Linked DNA regions of Oreochromis niloticus. The protein of the gene in region 1 interacts with the protein of each later gene in a biochemical or structural test. Links are inferred from orthologs where the notes say so. Each region holds a gene or a part of one and is shown in the gene's direction. Other genes may lie near its edges. The genes, in order: mapkapk2a and zfp36l1a.

Region 1 (9,836 bases):
TTTAAATTGCAAATCGTCCACTATGTTGGCTTGCTGAATAATTGATGTTCATAAAAAAATAACCTAATACAGCTCTCATTTCAAAACTACCAAATATTCTACATAACAGTTTAAATTTACCTTCCTTGAGTAGCCATCCACTCCACCAAAGATCACAACATTGTACCTGTTTCAGAGGGAAAACAATCTCACTAAGGCTTGATTTGCAGAACATGTAAGACATTGAAAATACATTTTTCAGTAACCAAACTTGCCACTGATTTAAACTGGACACTTGTCAGGTGTGCTGAAAATAATACCAACATTTTTATATGTGAAAGTGGATAAGTTCAATGAGACTAAATATTTTAGTTCCCTTGTCATGATTTTTTTTTAAGTTTTCAGTAGCACTTACCATATTATGTGTTGATAGGCTTGTTATCATGGAAAATATCGATATACAAAGTGTAAATAATTGCTCAAGAAAATTTACAATTAACAATATTACTGCTTTTGTTACACATCCTGTAATCCTTTTACTTAATATTACAATATGAAGTGCTTTTTAAAATATTATAAACACACTGAAAGACCTATCAGATAAGGTTGATTAAAACAGATTTAAAGTATAACGTGCATCTTTCTGCCCAACTTTTATTAGAGCTATATAAGTGGGTATTTTACCTTATTAGCTTGTGATTTGTGTCTATGTGGACAAGGGAGAGAGGGCCTCGCACCGAGTAGCTTCTTCGCACAACACAGCCTAGTTCTGTAATCCGTGTGAAGATCCCAACAGCATCAACTCGATGCATGGAGGCCATCATTCTCCACCACTGAACACGGAGACCCATAGAAACCAAATGTCCTTGAACCATTCGATAGCCAGCATTTGGCATCTGATTTTGATAGTCGATATGATGTTGTCCAGCTCTTGGTCATTCATTGTGCTGTATGTTCCTCTCACAGACAAGTCAAATTCTTGCATCCTCCTGAAGATTGTTCTTCTTGAAACACCAAGACATTTAGCGATGCAGCTGACTGGCAGCTGAGTGTCCAACAAGTTCTTCAGTTTTTCTCTCTCTAGTACGATTTTGGGGTGGCCAGGTCCCAGACCAACTTCTGTTTCCAGTTCAATAATTCCCACAGAGGTGATGTTAATTTCACACTGAACCAGATGATGAACATTTTGTAGAGCCTCTGTAATCTCTGACAGACCACCTATTTGCTGAGAGAAAGATTCAAACAGAACAAGCTCATGACGAGTCAAGAACTCCAAATAATCCAGATTTAGTGGTTGTTGGTTTAAAGCAGCTTCCAGTTTAGAGAGGAGTCTATGCATCATTTGCTGTCTCAGTATGTCCTGTTAAAAGCAGCAAACATGGACAAGTAGTTAGAAAAATACAATGAAATGACGTATCTCAGACAAAAATAAACAACCCATAAAACGAACTACATGAGGTACATCATTTTTCAAGTTTGCATAGTTTGCAAATTAGCTAACGTCAGTTATCAAGCGAATAATAATGTACAAAATGATTTTATATTACTTACATGTGGCCGGGACATGTTGTTTTCGTGCTGCTGTTCAGTATTCGACGACATAAAAGAGAGCTACTCAAATATAATTTGGAGAGTCAGTTGGCATGGTTGTATAATGCAACTACATTATACTACACCAACGATAGTCTTAACAAATAATATATTTTAAAATAAAATAATTAAAGATATTATCCGCAAATTGGGGTTAAATTGAGTTTAGCTGGATTTAGCTACATTTCGGACTGTTTCCGGAATGCAGCAGCTAGCGAGCTGATTGGAGACTGTAAGAGCCAATCAGAATTTTTGAAACCAAGTCTGTGATTGGTTGGTTTTGTGGCACACTTATAACGGTGTACAGAGAGTTGAGCGCTTGCAGCAGAGAATGTTGTGAGCGCAAGCAACACATTGCGAGCAAGCGCAAATGAAAAAACTGAGCGAGAGGGGGTGCTATTGTGTGTGTGTATATGGATAAGCGCAAACACTGAAATACATTTTTTGCACGCAGCAATGAATTTTGTTCACTCAAATTCAGCTTTTGTACGCTCAAAATAAATTTCTCCTCAAAATGCAACACTTGCACTTGCAATATTTTTTTACGTGCGCTCAGAATAGTGGCACTGAAATAACGCCATAAAGGTGCTCTATATCTTTTATTATGAACCTGTGTAACATTTCCTGTTATTGGCTAACAGGAGTGACACTTGGTGTGGTCTTCTGCTGCTATAGCACAGATGCTCTTCTGCATACCTTGACTGTAATGAGTTACTGTCTGTTTTCCTATGAGCTCAAAATGCGCTCACCATTTCCCTCTGACTTCTGACATCAACAAGACACTTTTTTTGTCCAAAGAACTGCTGCTCACTGGATATTTTCTCCTTTTCAGACTGTTTTCTGTAAACCCTAGAGATGGGAAAATCCCAGTATATCAGCAGTTTCTGAAATATTCAGACCAGCATGACTGCCACCAATAACAATAAAAGTCACTTAATGATCTTTTTTAACCATGTCTACATGGCTAAATGCACTGAGTTGCTGCCATGTGATTAGCTGATTAGATATTTATGTTGATAAGCAGCTGAAAAGTTGTGGTCAGTGAGCATATGTCACTAGAATATAACGCGGCATTTCTACTTAATTGTGAGCCAATTACTGGCAGATGAGTGTATGTGTGTTTCCATTTAAGTTTTTTAATAATGTGGCGCTACTTTGGATAAACCTTTAAAATCTTGATTTCACACATTAAACATATCTTAGTGGTATTCTCTCACTTCTGATGGCAGTGAAGTAGACTTTGATTTCATTCAGCAACACGAGCAGTCAAACTTTATCCTACTCACAGAAAGAAAGTTAACCAAACTGACCTGTGACTGATGGAAGCACAATGAGAATGACCGCATGAAGTTTTTTATACTACATATGAATACTGCAATAATGATTGTGTTCTATTAACATTCTAATTTTTATTAAAAGGTACTTTTTAAGTTGAAATCTTCAGAGGAGGTGCAGCATGATTGAAATAAACAATACTTTGCACAACAGGAAACCAAAGCATATACATTGTTGGAAGATCGTGTTCCAAACAGATTTTTCAGATTGTTTTTAGATTTGGCTAATCACCGTTTAGCCAAATCTAAACACAACTATATTAGTATCCTACATACCAAAGCATTTCAAGGGAAAAAGCTTTGCAAGCTCCTTAGATCACTGTTAACATTTTAAAAAAAGTTTAAATAAATAAATTAATGTTAATGTTATCCATATTGTACAATGTACACTTAATATTCTTCTCCGGTGAGATTAAAAGCACGATATAATATGCTTTGAGGAAAGCGTTTCGTTAAGACTTGTCTGCCATCTTCTGGTAAAAAAGAGGCGCTGCATTCAATTTATAGCTTATCTACCGCCATTAGTTCCGGACCACGTGCTTGACTCTGTAGTAAGAAATTAAAGTGGCAGAAAAATAAAGGGAAATATTGCACTCATCTATTTGTGCATGTTTTTGTTTGTTTTAATTGCAGGCTCGCTGTTATTAGGCCAAGGCCAGCACCACACCATATTAACTTGAATAGGGAACCAATAAGTCACTTTGCTGTTCCTTTGGGAACCCCCCCCAATCTCCCCCAGAAAGAAAAACAACAACAACAACAACAACAACAAAACTGCTTGCACTCATACACTTTATCTTTTTAATATTTCAGAGGCCAAACAGGAGACCTTTCCTCCCGGTGCAGAGGTGCATCAGTGAACTCACCAGAACAGCTGAATGTGAGCGTGGAATATCCTCAACAAACTTCCGCTTGTTTCAGAACTGTAGAGGAGGGTGACGCTTTAAAAGTAGCTCACCAACCTCTATTCTAGATTCAAGGACATGTGAAGAATACATCCCAAAGTCTGGGAAAGATGGAAAGTGGACTTCCTTAGGTTTCTGAAAACGTGTCACCACCTCATGTAAGAGGTGTCTTCAGTTCTGAAAATAAAGGATGGAGAAACCCAGGTATTTATCCCCTAGTGCCTAGTGGGATTTTTCTCCTTTGGAAGTAATCCTGAGGATTATCACATGAGCCAAGGTGTGAAAAAAATGCACAGGTCAATACCATCAATGGGGGTTAAGGGTTAAAACACTGTGAGACCTTACCCCACCCTATTGAGGTCACCTGAGGCAAGGTGTGAGGGAGGGTTAAAGAGCCAGGGAGGGGATATCAAGACTGCATTGTAGGTGGCTGATAGCTGGTGTTGTAAGCTACCACTCCTGTTCACCGATGGCTGCTCACAGTGGACATAGATGACCTCCTGTACTCCTCTTTCAAATCATCTGTCTTCTTGGTCTAAAATGTGGACATTATCATCCTCAAAAAGTGACCTTTATCCTTTAAATGCTGATGTGCAGCTTGGGTCAAGTGTACTAGGGTTTCAAGACATGGGTCTCTCCAGCCTCTTGGATGATGTCTCCACTAGCTTAAAGAAGTCCAGCTTCCTTTTTTTAAAGCTCTTAAGACTACCTTGACATGGACGACTGAGAACCTACATAGACTGACCTGCAGAGGCCCATCTGTTCAGTTTCCTCCTCAGTCATGCTGGTTACCACAAGTCTTCCCTTATCCTAATATTTTTTGTAATCACTTCTTTTCCACAGTTATTGTGTTGTCTTATTCCCTTGCAGATTAGCAACACAATGTATCCATCAGTCCTCTGAAATACAACAATGTTGCAATGATTTAGGCTGTCAGAGACTAGCTACGTGCTGTAAAGGTACCAGAGTTTAATGAAAAACTTACGGACCAAAACACCCTGTTATATCTGTGTTTTGGGTTGAAACTGGAAATTGTATAACCTCAAGGAAGTTTTCATTTAATAATTAGAATGTAAAAATGATTAAAGTGATTGATTGCATGGGCTCTCGCTAGCATTCAGTGCTGCTTTTAGGCAAATAGTAAGGTTTCATTGTTTGACAATCACAATATTAGTAGTTGCATACAAAACATTTTATATACTGCTGCCCTTTGACATTTGCATACATCCAGGAAAAAGACAAAGCAAGATAGTGATGTGTGTACAATCCTGGTTGCTCTGTAACTTGTATTTTCAATACTTTCATGCAGATTTGGGTTCTAATTTACCAATATCGCGCCTTTCCCAAAACAAATCAATGTGTAAGTAGGAACAGCAGAATTAAAGGCACACAAGCCCTAGCACTGAGGTCACCTATAGCACTTTGGTCCTTCTGGTCAGAGATTAGTGTCTATTTTCGTCCCTGTCCCTGTCCCTGTTAGACTGCTAATAAACTCTGGAGGGGGATCTCTTGCCTCAAAGACTGGCAATTAAAACCCGCGTAGCGCTTCATACTGTCATATAGGAAACACACAATAAAAATGCAGATTACTCTTTGATTATCTTTTGGCAAAGTAAGTCTCTGTTCTTGTAAACGCCTGTGCGTGTGCCCTCTCCTGGCCGACGCTCCAGTCTGTTGAATGAATCCAGCCGTTTCCTCTGGTGCACTTCTCCTTTAAGCGCCGAAAAAAAGCCCCGGCCATATGACGTCAGAAGCTAAACCTGCTGGGTGTCTGTCCGTTGGAAAGTGAAGTGTGTTTGTCGTGCTATTGCTATCGGAGTTTTTTCCCCCTGTGTTGCCTGTCTTTCGTTAAGTGTTTCTGTTGTTTTTGTTTTTACTTCCCTCGAGGGGTTTCACGGTATCGAGTGAAAAAAAACAAACCCTACCGCTGTTGCCGCCTTAGAGGATGTTTTAGAAAAGTTCCTGAAGGGTTCTTTGAGGAAACCGGTGGACGGCGGACACCACCGGAGATGGATAAGCTAACCGATAGCTGAGTTGTTAGCCGAGAATCACAGAAAAGACTCGAGCTAGGATGCTAATAGCTAGCTAACTTGGCATTTTACCGGCTAACCGAGTGACTTTGTGAACCTGTATCGTTAGAACTACTGCCAGATTTTCCTCGGGCCTGGACGCGACGCGCTGAGCAGTTTGTCAGAGGCCAGCTAACTCAGGAAGACTCGGTCTCTGTATTAAGAACAGTATTGTTGAGGGGAGGCTGCTTACCTCTCAGCCTAAGACTATGAACATGCTATCAAACTCACAGAACCAGCCACTGTTTCCCAACCCGGCGGGGCAGCAGAACCCAGCCGGGCAGCAGAACCCTTCGGGTCAGTTCCACTCCTTCCAGCCCAGACCCACCTTACAGATCAGGAAGAACGCAATCACTGACGAATACAAGGTGACCAGCCAGGTGTTGGGGTTGGGAATCAATGGAAAAGTGCTCGAAATAGTACAGAAGAGCACTGGCGACAAGTATGCCCTAAAGGTAGGTCATATCTGTAATGAAGCAACGCAATTTTGTACAGTAGTCCATCTTTTGTCCAGCTATGAGTTCATGCAGTGGTCACTATTTTGCAATTAAGACTTTTAAAGTTCAATTCTACATATCTGGACGCTCTAATTGGAAAGCAGAACCAATCACACGTTGAGCAGTTCATTTTTGTCCCACAGTGTCGTTTTTAGACTTATTATTTAGACATATTTCTCCTTGTTTGTTCTCCTGCAAAGTATTACATTTAGCCTGCTGTTTGGATAAAACCTATCAGGACCTCAAACTTTTAGGAAATTCGACTTTTAGTTTGCTTACATTTTACAGGAACCAAATTTCTAATTTTTTTGTCTTTCTCTTCATTAATGTGGTAATGTTGGTAAAAGTTAATCCACGAATTAAATATTTGATCACCTTTGTCAATAATTTCTTACCCTAAAATATAGCCCGATGTTGTCCAACAAGTGCCTTTTAACTCCTATTATTAGAACATGTAACTTCATCGCACTAAGGTGGTGCACAAGCAAATAGTGAATTGATACACAACAGGTATCTCGCCAGTTCAAGTGTGCAGTGCTGCTTCTTGTGACTGGAGGCTGCTGTGTGATGTTAAAGCTGTTTCTCAATTGTGGTTTTTTTTGGATTTCACATTGTTATTGTTTTACGTGTCACCCACTTCCACCACTTAAGTAGTAACAAGGTAGAATGTCATACATAGCTTTAAAAAAAAAAAGTGTGTATGAGTGGGGGGTAGGGGTTGTTAGGGTTGTGGCTGTAAAGTGACACTGCAGTATCAGGATCTACCTCTTAAGAGATCATTTTCTGTATTGGTCAATCATTGATAAAGGACAAACGTCACAACAGCTATACACACACACACAAGTGACTGAAATGTTATCCAGTGAGGCCAAATATCACAGAAGGCTTTTTTTCCATCATCATGATAGGGAGTATAATCTTAAGATTCTCAGCATGCATAACTGTTGCACAGTCCTCCACAAGTGAATGAGTCAGGGAAAGACAAGATGAAAAATACAAATCTAAAACCTGAAAAAACAGGTGACCGCTTTCTCTCTTTCTCTGTGTGTATGTTTCAAACAGCAAATTCCACACAAGCTCCCACGCAACCATCAGTGAGCCATGTTTTTGTTTGTTGTTAAAACACTTGTAACAAGTATAAACTTAGAAAGTCATGTTGAACTTTCAGGCCTTCTCAATTGTCTTCTCAGCTGTCTTGTGTGAGCAGGGGCATTATACATTGATAGCGCTGCATGTAAAACTATAGCTGCCTTTTATGTGAATATAGTTGTCATTTTTAAAGTGGAAGTGGGCTCAGTTCACAGTGCAGTGTAAAACATTTCTAGTAAAGCAGTATTTAATATCCAATAGAAGTGCAAAGGTGAAAGCAAGTTGGCACAAGGTTGCAACTTCCCATGATTATTGTTGCAGTTGATCAGTAATTCATGCCCTTCAAAAATCAGTTTTGCGTTCACACTGTGAAAAATTTTCCAAGTTAAAGGTCCTCAGATTACACAGAAGTGGGCTGAAATTCTGTACTTAATTTTTTTCCAGGATTTTTGAGCGCTTAAGGCTGAGGGAGTAGAGAAGTTTTTTCCAAGTATGATATAATATATTGGGTCATTCTTTTATTAAATCTTAGTCTTATTAGGTTTGACTGAATGTGGCATGAGTGGGGTCCTGGAGGGTAAATTCAGTTGCAAATGCTGTCAATTTTCCATCAGTTTCAGACCAAAAATATCTAAATTCTTTCTCAAAAGAAGTACAGAAAAGATATATGAACTGCAGCTGGTAACTAACTAGTGTTAGCTAGATTCTGTTTCAGAAGTCAGCAATTCATTTTAGTGTAACATTTTGAGAAAAGTAGTAACAAAACCGTCATACTTTGATTAGGTTAATTATATTCATCTTAGAATATGAATATAATTAAATCCATTTCCAGTGTCAATTTAAATGATCCAAAACTGAAAAATACTTTGCACATCTGCCTTATAAGATCAGTGCACTAGAGAGGGATAAATGGCAGGCGGTGAGAGGGAGACTTACAATTGGTAATGAAATCATTTTGTTTACATCATTGTTAAATAATTTTAATGTTGTAATAATAAATCTATTTTCTTAATTTACTCAGTACCAAAACTAGAGATGTTCCTGGCGACTAATAGACCTTTTCCACTAGTACCTACTACCTGCTTGGCTGGACTCAACTCCGTTTTGCAGGGTTTTCCATTATGTGGTAGTACCTGGCACCAGGTACCCACTTGGCCTAGGTTCCAAGTGATCTGAATTAATTCAAAAATGTGATGTCAACAGACTCCATGCCACTGATTGGCCAGTTATTGTTGTCACTCAGTGAATCATGAGAGCAGCTCCTTCAAAACCACAATCTTTTTGAAACCCAGCAACAAAGGAAAAGGCTACACAAAAAACAATATCAGGGTTAGCAGAATTTGGCGAACCAAACTTAGCAATGCTAGCAGCAGTGGCCTTCTTCCATGCTAGCATTCACACCCTGACAAACGGCCACTTCTTCTTTTTTTTGGGTGACAGCCATGCTAGCCGGCTGTCATCTGTTTACTTTACCCCTTGCTTGTTTGCAACTTCCCTTCAAAGAAAAATTAACAGACAGAATGGGGGTTGCATCTGTCTGTCAGAGCTACAGCCCAGGTTAGTGGCCAGTGGGGTCATAACATCTTTGATCCTCTAACTGCTTTTTTTTTTTTTTTTTTTACATTAGGTCCTTGCCCCTTAGAGACAATATCTAAATACCTCTCCTGTATCCTTAATGGTATGTTTTGACACATCACTATATGTCAATAAAGATGTGGTTCAACTAATTCTGACATCCTTAATTCTGACATTAGAATACCAAATACCAAACTAGCAGAGGTATTTACCAGCAATTTTATCAAATCTTTATTAAATGCTGTTTTGGGAAATTTTCTTTGCAACTGTAAGGGTCTTAGACTGGTCTGGCCACACCGCTTAACTGAGAAATGGTCTCACCCCTGAGCAATAAACTCCTGAACCAATCCATTAAGCAACTACAGACTATTCATAGTCTCTAACACTGGAACACCCCATTAGATTGCAAAGGAGCTTTCTTCTGCTGCCTAGTAGTTTTTTCTTTTCTTGTTTGTTTGTTTGTTTGTTTTTTACCAACTTTGTTTAGCCAAAGTGACAGATACCTGTTAAATTGCATGCATTAATGACTAGCCAATCTGTTTATTCACAAAGTGTAGAATATGGTTCATGCAAAATATTCATTTTTTCACACAGCAGCCCAGGTTGTCAGTAGTCTGGTACTTAAACTGATCCAGAGCTGCAGGCAAACTCCTGAACACTGTCTGCCTTGCAGAAAATTAACTGCTAGGTTGGGTTTAGAAGTAGGTATCAGTTTATATAACTCGAAATTAGAAATTCTAATGGCTTTGCTTAACACTAGCGTTTCATCTAAGTTTCTCTGTGGGGCAGGGCATTCAG
Region 2 (9,185 bases), on another chromosome or scaffold:
ATGCTTTCCACTGTTCCAACATTATACAAAGCCCATTGATTTTTTGCGAGTGTTGAGTGAGGAGCTGAGGAATATCTGGTTTCAGCGTCCACTGCATGGTCATGACACCTGGGCCAGGGTCAGGTCTGTCCAGTCCGGTCGGATCTGGTCACAACAATCACCATGATTCATCGTTGCGTCCCTAACTTTTTTGGCCTAAGTGCCATCGTTGTACTGTGAGTTTAATGCATTATGCATCACATCGCTGTGGTCATCAACTCATTTCTGTAGCTTGATGGCTTTGACCTCGGCTTCATCTGTCGTGACCCCCAATGTGTGTGTGGAAAACCAAACTATCCCTTCCCATGAGCCCTCTGCATAGACAGAAAGATTGTTCCTCAGGAAACGCAGGTCAGGAAGTCAGAGGCGGAAGCCAGCCTTTCGTTCTAAATACAACCGTCCTCTAGAGATTGGCGTGTCAACAGAGAATTGGGCAGTAAATCTTCTTTAAACGCTGACCCCTCACTCTCTTGTTTTGTTGCTATTTTTTGCGACTTTGCATTTACCAAAACATCATTCTTCTTCTTCTCCTATTTCGCTGTAAATTGGCAGCAAAGGAACCACAGACTCACATTTCCAACATGGTGTTTGTTTTGAACTCCGGTCATGAATGTAATGCTGTGACGTGTCAAAGCCATCAAAATGAGCCAGGGCTAGCACTGATGCCGCATCCCACCCAGTGTGAGATGAAGGGCAGTGGAAGTGAATGGATGGGCATGTTGGAGCGATTCATGGGAACAAGATCAGCAAGAGCAGTTGGCGGTTTACCACTAACAATGCTGTGGCTACTCTTATGGACAATTAATCGCTGCTTGTTCTTATTTTCCTCCTTCCCTCAATCCTTCTCTCTCCCTAAACTTTCTTCCTCTGAGGCTAGGTTCACCCTGCATGATGACCACAGTCCTCCCATATGAATTTGGCAAACATACCATGAAACATGAAAGGAAGCAATCATGGTGTCCTGGCTGTCAAGGCTTATACAGACAAGGACAGGATCACACAAATTGGAAGTGGGCAGTGGATACAGAAACAAAACCCGTGCAGGATCACAGTAAATATGAGATCACACATGACAGCATATTCAAGGAATCAAAGTCTGTTTTGTTTTGGTTTTTTTGCTCAAACTTGACTATCCTTGACCACTGATTACTCAACAGTCAGCAGAGTGATTAGCTGTCCTGATGAAAAACAAAAAGGAAGTTGTTGAGTAAGCAATGACTTTTAATAGAAGCAGAAACACAACTGACTCTATTCCTGCAGTACATTTGCAGTAGTGAAAAAGCATATGTACTGCGTAAATCATTGTTTTGGTTTTTTCATCTTAAACTCTTTTATCTTCCACTTTTTTTATTTTTCAGAGGACAAATGTGCTCCAATACAGATGTTTCCACATATTTATAGCAAAGAAGTAGTTCAGTATATTCTAATTGAGGTTAAAATAACATGTTGTTAAATTACAGCTAAATGCAGCACTTAAAAGTGTCTCCTCCTCAGGCTTAAGTACTCAAATAAAGGTCACCTTCCATCTGTTATTTAAAAAGAAAGAAAGAAAAATATGCTAATACAACCATCTTCTGAACATTGATTTGATACACTGTAACTACCTTTACTTAAGCATTAATAACATAACAAATAAAGTCCTTAATATTTGAAAAAACACACACTTTGCAGTTGGATTTAGCATTGAGGAAATGCTTGTGACTATCATAAAAATATGCATTTTAAGGAAATCTGTATGTTTTTCTTCTATTTAGAAGAAAACATACAACACAACTACAACACTACAACACAAATGGCAACTACCTTTTTTTCACCTTGACTATGTCCCCTCTTCTCAAATCTAACCTACAGCGGCCCTGGTAAGCTCTTAAAGGTTGTTTTCCCATAACTGGCAGAAATAACTAAGATGTGCCAGCGACAAACTGAAAATACATTTCTTGCGAAGCAGAGATGTTCCACTCACAGCTGCATATACAGTAATAACCTTAATATTAAGGAATTGAAAATGCAAGTGTGTGGGGGGATGACTGTTTAGTGAGGCACAAATCTCACTAAGTGGAAACCACTAAGTGACTGGTATTCATCAACAACCCTATCAAGTCCAGGAATACACATTATGCACCATGCAGCAGTAAAAAGTAAAAATACTACTTATTTCTTCTTTAATACATTGTTTAATGAGCTTGTGGTCACCTTAACTGGGATGTGGTGCAGCACGGTTTGAGATTACCACAATACTAGTTTGAGTAATTGTGAGTTTTGTAGCTGATAAGTCCCTTTGCTTCACACAAGGCCAGTGTTAGTGTATCTGTGGAAAGGCTGATTACACAATTCACAAGTTTGTACTGAGCACTAAATTACCTCAAAGCCGCACAACGAATGAGCTGTGTTTGACTGAGCTGACCTGCTGGTCTAATCTTAGAAATTCCCACTCAATGTAGAACTATTCTGTTGAGGTAAAGTTATGTTTTAGGCAAACGTGCAAAGACTTAAAATACAGCACAAAAATAGAGGAGTTAAATAGGAAATGCTGAGACCAGAGGAGAGAGAAGCGGAAGAACTTTGCCCTCTGTTGGCTGCAGGGAGGAACTGCAGCAAATCGTTGCCACAACAGTCACCTCCCATTTATTTGTTGTTCTCCTCCATGACTTCTTTCATCTCCAGTACTGATAGATGAAAAATTTAACATCCTGTCATCCCACTTAAACATTATCAGTGACCTCAAGCTCAATCCCCATCCTCCCTTCTGAGCTTGGGGTCATCAAAGTCAACGGCGCAGGAGGCAGAAATCAAACGACGCAGCACATGCTGAGGAGTGACCGACTCCAGCTCCAGCAGAGCCTGGAGGGAAAAAAAACAAGGAGGACAGCCTTGACCTCGGAGAGCACAAAACCTCAGAAATCAAGTCTCCTAAGAGAGAGCTCAACTCAGTCAACAGTAAGAGGAAAATACTGACAGAGAAGTTGATATATGGATTGCGCCTTTTGTGTTTGTACCTTTGGAAGTCAGTGAAAACGTCATGATGCTTCTACACACCTTATTTGCAAGATTTCTGTCATTTGTGACAACAGAAAATATTTGGATTTCAAACTCTTTATGAGATCCTTTTTTCTTTTTAAAGGAAAGATAGTCCAGACTAAAATAATGCAGGTTTTTTTTGCAATGCATTGTGTTAAAGTCTTGTCAGTAGTTATTACAGTGGTTTACTGTCTCCATTTTTAAAGCATCTGACTAAATCCCCTGAGAGCACAGCAGGCTGACTTTTTTTCTATATATTTTCATTTTGGCAGGAAACAGGTGCCTCCTCCTAAACCTGGAAGGACAACTGAGTCACACAATAATATCAGCAGGCACGATATATCTGAGAGTATTAAAAATAAACAAATGCACTGTATGAGGCTTCTTAAGGCCAAGGTCCAGTATGAAGGCATTTCCATCAGTCAGTGGGTAGTTTGTTTTTGAGTTTAGAGCCCTGCTGACCTTGTGCGCTTTAAATCCTTGCAAGTATCTACAGTGAAATTTCCAGCTCCTGCATCACAGCTACATGAGCGTATTCTTCACTTGTGTTGCATATTATGAATTCCCACACGAGCTCTGGGATTTTTGCATTTGCAAAATGAAAAGAAAAGGGTGGGAAAAAGTGATTCTCGTTCTACTTCCCCGCTCTGTTTCTCCCTTAGAGGGACAATCGATCTGGCCCACTTAATCAATCAGTGACAGGCCCTTTGAACTGCAGACGAGATTTCTAGCAAGTCTGTCATCCCACCCTGTCGTCTGTGAAAACACTCCAGGGGGAGATTGCTCTGCACAGGCCTGGCTCGTAAAACTCTTTTTTTTATGTTCCAACACACACCCTTGCTGTTCACTGACAAGGTCCAGGGTAACCGGGTGTTTGCATCTACTTTTCTTAATGCATAGAGAAGAGGATGTTTGAGTTCCAAAAAGGTCAGCTCATGAGGCCTTAGTCAGATACTTGCTTGAGAAGCTGTGGTGTAATCTGGCCTGTTCTATTTCAGCTCGTTTCAACATTTCAGTGCAAAAACAACTTCCCTGCCTCCTTCAGGGCTGCTAGCAGTGAAAGACAAAGCTCTCCACCTCCCCACTCTCCCCCTGCATGGCTCCTGTATAGGCAAAGAAGAAGAGGAAGGGGAAAGGGAATGTTTTGCCTCTCTATCCCACCCCTCTTCCCTCACTTCCCTGGGGGCAATGCTGTGTAGTAATAAACGTCCCCCATAAATCTCCCCCTCACGCCATCATCCCCTCCTCCATACTCCAACTTCTTGTTTTCTGTATGTTAACAGCTTCTTTTCTTCTCCCCCTCCTCCTCAACCCCGCTTTTCTTTTCCCTCCTCTCCTTTTCTACTGCAACCCAACCCTGACATTAGGGCCTGCACATGGCCGATGTCATAGACTTTATGAAGGGGGGTGGGCAAGATGAGCCACAATACATTTGTATGGGTTTCACTCTCTGTAGTCTGTCACGCCACTGCGGTTGAATCTAGTGAGATCACTCATGTATCAGATTGTCGCCTACAGTACCTGATGAAATGACATGCACATATTCAATTCAGAAGAGGAGTTTTATACCTGCTGGTAATGAATAACAAATGAGCTGTGGCTGGAAGTAGAATGCTGTAACAGTGAAATAGCTGTGGTCGGGAAAGAGTTAAAAGTGCCTGAATTCACCGGAAAGTCCCACAAGTGACGTTACAGTCCAGCAATTAAGAGTAAATTAATTACAGAGTAGTGGATGGTAGCTGAAACCCCGAGGATAATACAGTAAACAACTCCAGAAGTACAAGATTTCCATTGCACTACTCCTATTCACATGCCTTTGAAGGCTTCTGATTGGACTTTAGTTTGATATAAATATATTTAAACTGCTTAATTATGAACTGAAGACACTTTTCCCTCCAACAAAATCAACTTTTAACAAATCTAACCCACAGTTCAGATTCTCCGATGAAGTTAAAGAGAAAAAGAAACTTGTTTTTAGTGCGTTGTCCCTCCTGACTGGTAGCCTAAGACTGTTTGGCATTCAAACCTCACCCAGCACTGGAGTAATCTCACATAAACTGACAAACCAATGCAGGTTTTTTTCCCTACAGTTACTAAAGTTACTGAAAGTTCACGCCCGTTTTTCGAAGCTCCTCCCTGCAGTCGATTGATTAAAAAGCAAATGTCGGGGTTGGTGCAGGGCAGAGGGGGAGAGTTCAGTAGCTCTGAGCAACTTTCTAACAAGTAGACTGGCTTTCTTTTTTTTTTTTAAACTACTTTTGTGATTTGATTCCGGTCGCTGCAAAGATGACCACAGCCGTGGTATCGCCTTTCTTCGACTTCGAAGTAATGAACAAGGTAGCTTCCTAACTTTTTCCACCCCCTTCTCTGTGTATCTGTCTGTGGTCTTGTGAGCTGACATTAGCCTGTTAGCAGCGGGGAGTTAGCCGCTGTGGAGGAATGACGAGCTCCGTGCCCGCGGCCCTCTGCCGGCTGCTCGGAGGCTGTTTTTGTTTTGCTGTTTATCGCTTTGTATTCCGCTTTGACTCAACTGCGTGGTTATTTGTTTGCTTCGTCTGTTATTTCCTCTCTTCGGCCTCGTCTGTTGAGGGTTTACGCTATAAGCGCTTTCAAAGTGGACCGAAGCGCTGCGGGAGCGTTAATTTAAAAATTATTTAAAAACATGGTGTTTTTATTTACTTGTGTATTTATTTAATGTTCAACATGCGCCACATCTGCTAACTTTAATCTATATGGTTTATGCTGCGAGGCTGGTGTGCAGTTTAGTCAACCAGCGGCTGTTAAAGTGAAAGCTTTATGTCCTCTTTATTTTAATGAGATCACTTTTGCGCCACTTTTAATGCTGCTTTCAAAGCAGCCACATGCTCGCTAATCATTGACCAGATTTGGCTGGCTTTAGCCCACTTTCTGCCCCTATAAAACTACTTAAACTACCGGCATCGTCTCACCTTAACACTTGTTGCGCAATTCGTTTTCATACATTTTCACGTTTTGAGTGTCAGATTGCCTCTCAGAGCGTTTTTGTTTTTCTTTTAGCCTCCCTCTGGGGTTTGTTGGATTTCATTTACACTGTCGTGTTTATGTAAATCATGACTAACTGTTCATTTCCACTAGTATGGAAATGTGTGAAAGCAGATCAGGTTTCCCTTGTAATCCACAGAATGTTTGGCCACTTTCTTTCTCTTTCAAAATGATGCAGGGTCTTTGTAGCCCACACTGGTAGCCCACAGGCCTCTCATGTGCTGCTGCTGCTGTCCTATTGACGATACAGGCGCACACATTCCTAACCTGGGCAACTTGCCAAACCAGCTGCTGTTCTATAGGCCTGTATCCGCTAATGTCGTCTGAGCCAAAAAAGAACAGTCATGCAGGAGGTGTAGCCCCACCAGTCCCACAGTGCCCGTCATTTTTATTTATTTATTCAGGGAGAGTATCTGTACAAATGGTTTATAGGCTCGCCTAACAAGCGTTCAGTCACTTTCAGGAGTTGCATCAGGATGGCAATCGGACTTAAAAATCAGGGAGCTGCTGAAAGTAGCTTTTTTATTTGTGCTCTACTTTTTCTAATGCTTGTGTTTTCTGTACTTTATTTTTTCTTGCAGAACAAACTTCTCAGCTACAACAACAACCTGGGTGTCTCCCATCCCATGTCTGTTCCTTGCACTAGCACCAACGTGCCCATCTCCAGCTCCGCCGGACCCCTGCTGGACAGGAAGGCGGTGGGATCTCCCTCAGTGGGAGGCGTGTACCAGCGGCGGCACTCTGTCAGCAGCACAAAGTTCAACCAGAACCAATTTCTGAATAGCCTGAAGGCAGCGGACCAGTCCTCCTCACTCATCTCAGGGGTTGGCAATGCCAGCAACAACAAGGAGAACCGCCTGCGAGACCGCTCCTACTCCGAGACGGGCGAGAGGCTCATCAACAAGTGCCTGGGCCCTGCCAGTCCCACCGGTAGCAGCAGCCAAGTGAACTCCAGCCGTTACAAGACAGAGCTCTGCAGGCCCTTTGAGGAGAACGGTTCCTGCAAATATGGCGACAAATGCCAGTTTGCTCACGGAATCCATGAACTGCGCAGCCTGAGCCGCCATCCTAAGTACAAAACTGAGCTGTGCCGCACCTTCCACACCATCGGTTTCTGCCCATACGGGCCTCGCTGCCATTTCATCCACAATGCCGAGGAGCGTCGTGGACCTCCCCAGCAGTCCTCTCCTCTTAACTCTATGAACAAGATGGAGCGACCTCGGCTGCAGCACAGCTACAGCTTTGCCGGTTTCTCCAACTCAGCTGGGCTGAGAGACAGCCCCACCTCAGTCACCCCTCCACCCATGTTCTTCCCCGATGAGATCCCAGACTGGCCCAGCAGTAATCCCTTCACCTATTCCAGCCAGGAGCTGGCCAGCCTGTTCGGGCCCAGTCTCAATGCCGGTCCTGTAGGCACAGAGCCCAACACCCCTGCACCTCCCTCTCCAACAAGCACATCTTACTATTTCAGACCCATGTTGGAGTCCCCTCAGATGTTGGAGTCTTCATCCAGCCCCCCAGACTCTATGTCGGATCAAGAAGGCTACCAGAGCAGCTCTGGTGGCAGCCTGTGTGGCTCAGAGTCCCCCACGCTGGATAACACCCGCCGCCTTCCCATCTTCAGCCGCCTCTCCATCACTGATGACTAGACTGCACGCATCCACCAGTGACTTTTAAATTTGACGACACAAAGAACATGGCACTCCCCTCTACCTCTGCCCTTCAAACTCCCCTCTGCCCTCGAAGCTCCCTTACACATCACGTTAGTTCCTTGTTAGCATTATGAGGATATAATCAATTAAGGGAACCCTCAGCTAAATCTATCATTTCTTCCCGCTTAATCTGCACAGCAAGTTTTAAAAGAAAGTACCCCGCCATGTGTCATAGTGCCAAAAAAAGGAGAGGAAACTGAACAATGAAAATGATGAGAACAAGAATTGACTGTTTATGCCAGGTGCCACTTGTTTTTGTTTTTGTTTTTCTTCTTCATGTATTCTTGAATGTGTAGCAGCACAAGTGGCCTTGGAAAGGGGAGTGCTTTGCACTAGCCCTCAACCCCTCCCCTCTATCCCCTGCCATCCTCCCTGATGATACCACTTCCCCTGAGCTTGCTAGAGGGTGCTCAGTAATATAACTGTAGCTCTACACCGCAGACGTTTTTACAGACTGAGTTAAGACAAATGGAGAGAAATGACAGACCCTGAAAATATATGAATAGTTTCTTTTTTTTAAAAATGGAGAAAAAAAAGTGCCTGGGCAGTTTCTGCATGTGTTTAGGGTGAATGGACTACTGTTTGTTTTGGTTCTTTCTCATTTGCCCCCACCCACCTCCTTCTACCCCTCAGTCAAGCCCCGTGTTATGTAATTTTGAACCGGGTGAGTCTGCAGGAAGGACTTTGAACTGGAAGTTGGTTATGGCCCCCCCCTCTCCTCCTGTTGCTGGTCACTGGCTGTTTCTTTTTTTTTCCTTGGGAAGGAAGTTGATATCAAACTGATCATTAAACCTGCAAGACTTTGTCCTGCCCCCAGCACCTACACCTTCATCTTCACCGATCCGGGGAATTCCAGCATTCCCATAATATAGTTATATGTCGCATGACTTGACAAGATCGGATCTCCAAGCTATTTTACTTTACTTGTCCCCCTCCCCTCCCATCTCCTTCACTTTAGAACCTGCTCCGTGGAGCTCTCTACTCTCATTACATCCCTTTTTGCTTTCTTTATTTGATAATTATTTTTTATTAATGTTATTATTACGGTTATTATTATTTGAGAACCTTTCCAGACAGAAGGTTTGCGTGTCACTGCTTATTTAACTTATCAGAACATATTTATTGGTGATCATATGCATTTTTTTGTTAATTTTGTTTTTTGTATTTATCTGGATAATGAACAATAGAATATATTTTCTTTTATGTTAAATTATGATCTTCCATATTAATCTAAAGATTGTGAAGACTTTTGTCAGTTTTCCTTTTTTTCACAGTTTAATATATTGTACTTCAATGACTTTTGTTCTGCAACTACACTTTGTCAAAATGAAACTTAATTTAAAGCAAGAAAAAAAAAAAATGCAAAAAAAGCTGTTTTGCGTTTTGATTATTTAT

The links.
Region 2: of the proteins of mapkapk2a (region 1) and zfp36l1a, one has a biochemical effect on the other in vitro, tested with the Homo sapiens proteins (2 studies listed by BioGRID). The link is inferred for Oreochromis niloticus from reciprocal best matches to the Homo sapiens genes MAPKAPK2 and ZFP36L1.

What each region holds. Positions count from the first base shown.
Region 1 is NC_031970.2:25,083,483-25,093,318, reverse strand, and holds the start of mapkapk2a (MAP kinase-activated protein kinase 2), read left to right. Parts: upstream 1-5,540; 5' UTR 5,541-6,086; coding exon 6,087-6,332; intron 6,333-9,836. Other genes in the region: uncharacterized protein LOC100707221, read right to left, coding at 121-166, 664-875. UniProt on the Homo sapiens protein: Stress-activated serine/threonine-protein kinase involved in cytokine production, endocytosis, reorganization of the cytoskeleton, cell migration, cell cycle control, chromatin remodeling, DNA damage response and transcriptional regulation.
Region 2 is NC_031983.2:18,972,248-18,981,432, forward strand, and holds the start of zfp36l1a (mRNA decay activator protein ZFP36L1a), read left to right. Parts: upstream 1-5,212; 5' UTR 5,213-5,343; coding exon 5,344-5,394; intron 5,395-6,659; coding exon 6,660-7,727; 3' UTR 7,728-9,185. UniProt on the Homo sapiens protein: Zinc-finger RNA-binding protein that destabilizes several cytoplasmic AU-rich element (ARE)-containing mRNA transcripts by promoting their poly(A) tail removal or deadenylation, and hence provide a mechanism for attenuating protein synthesis.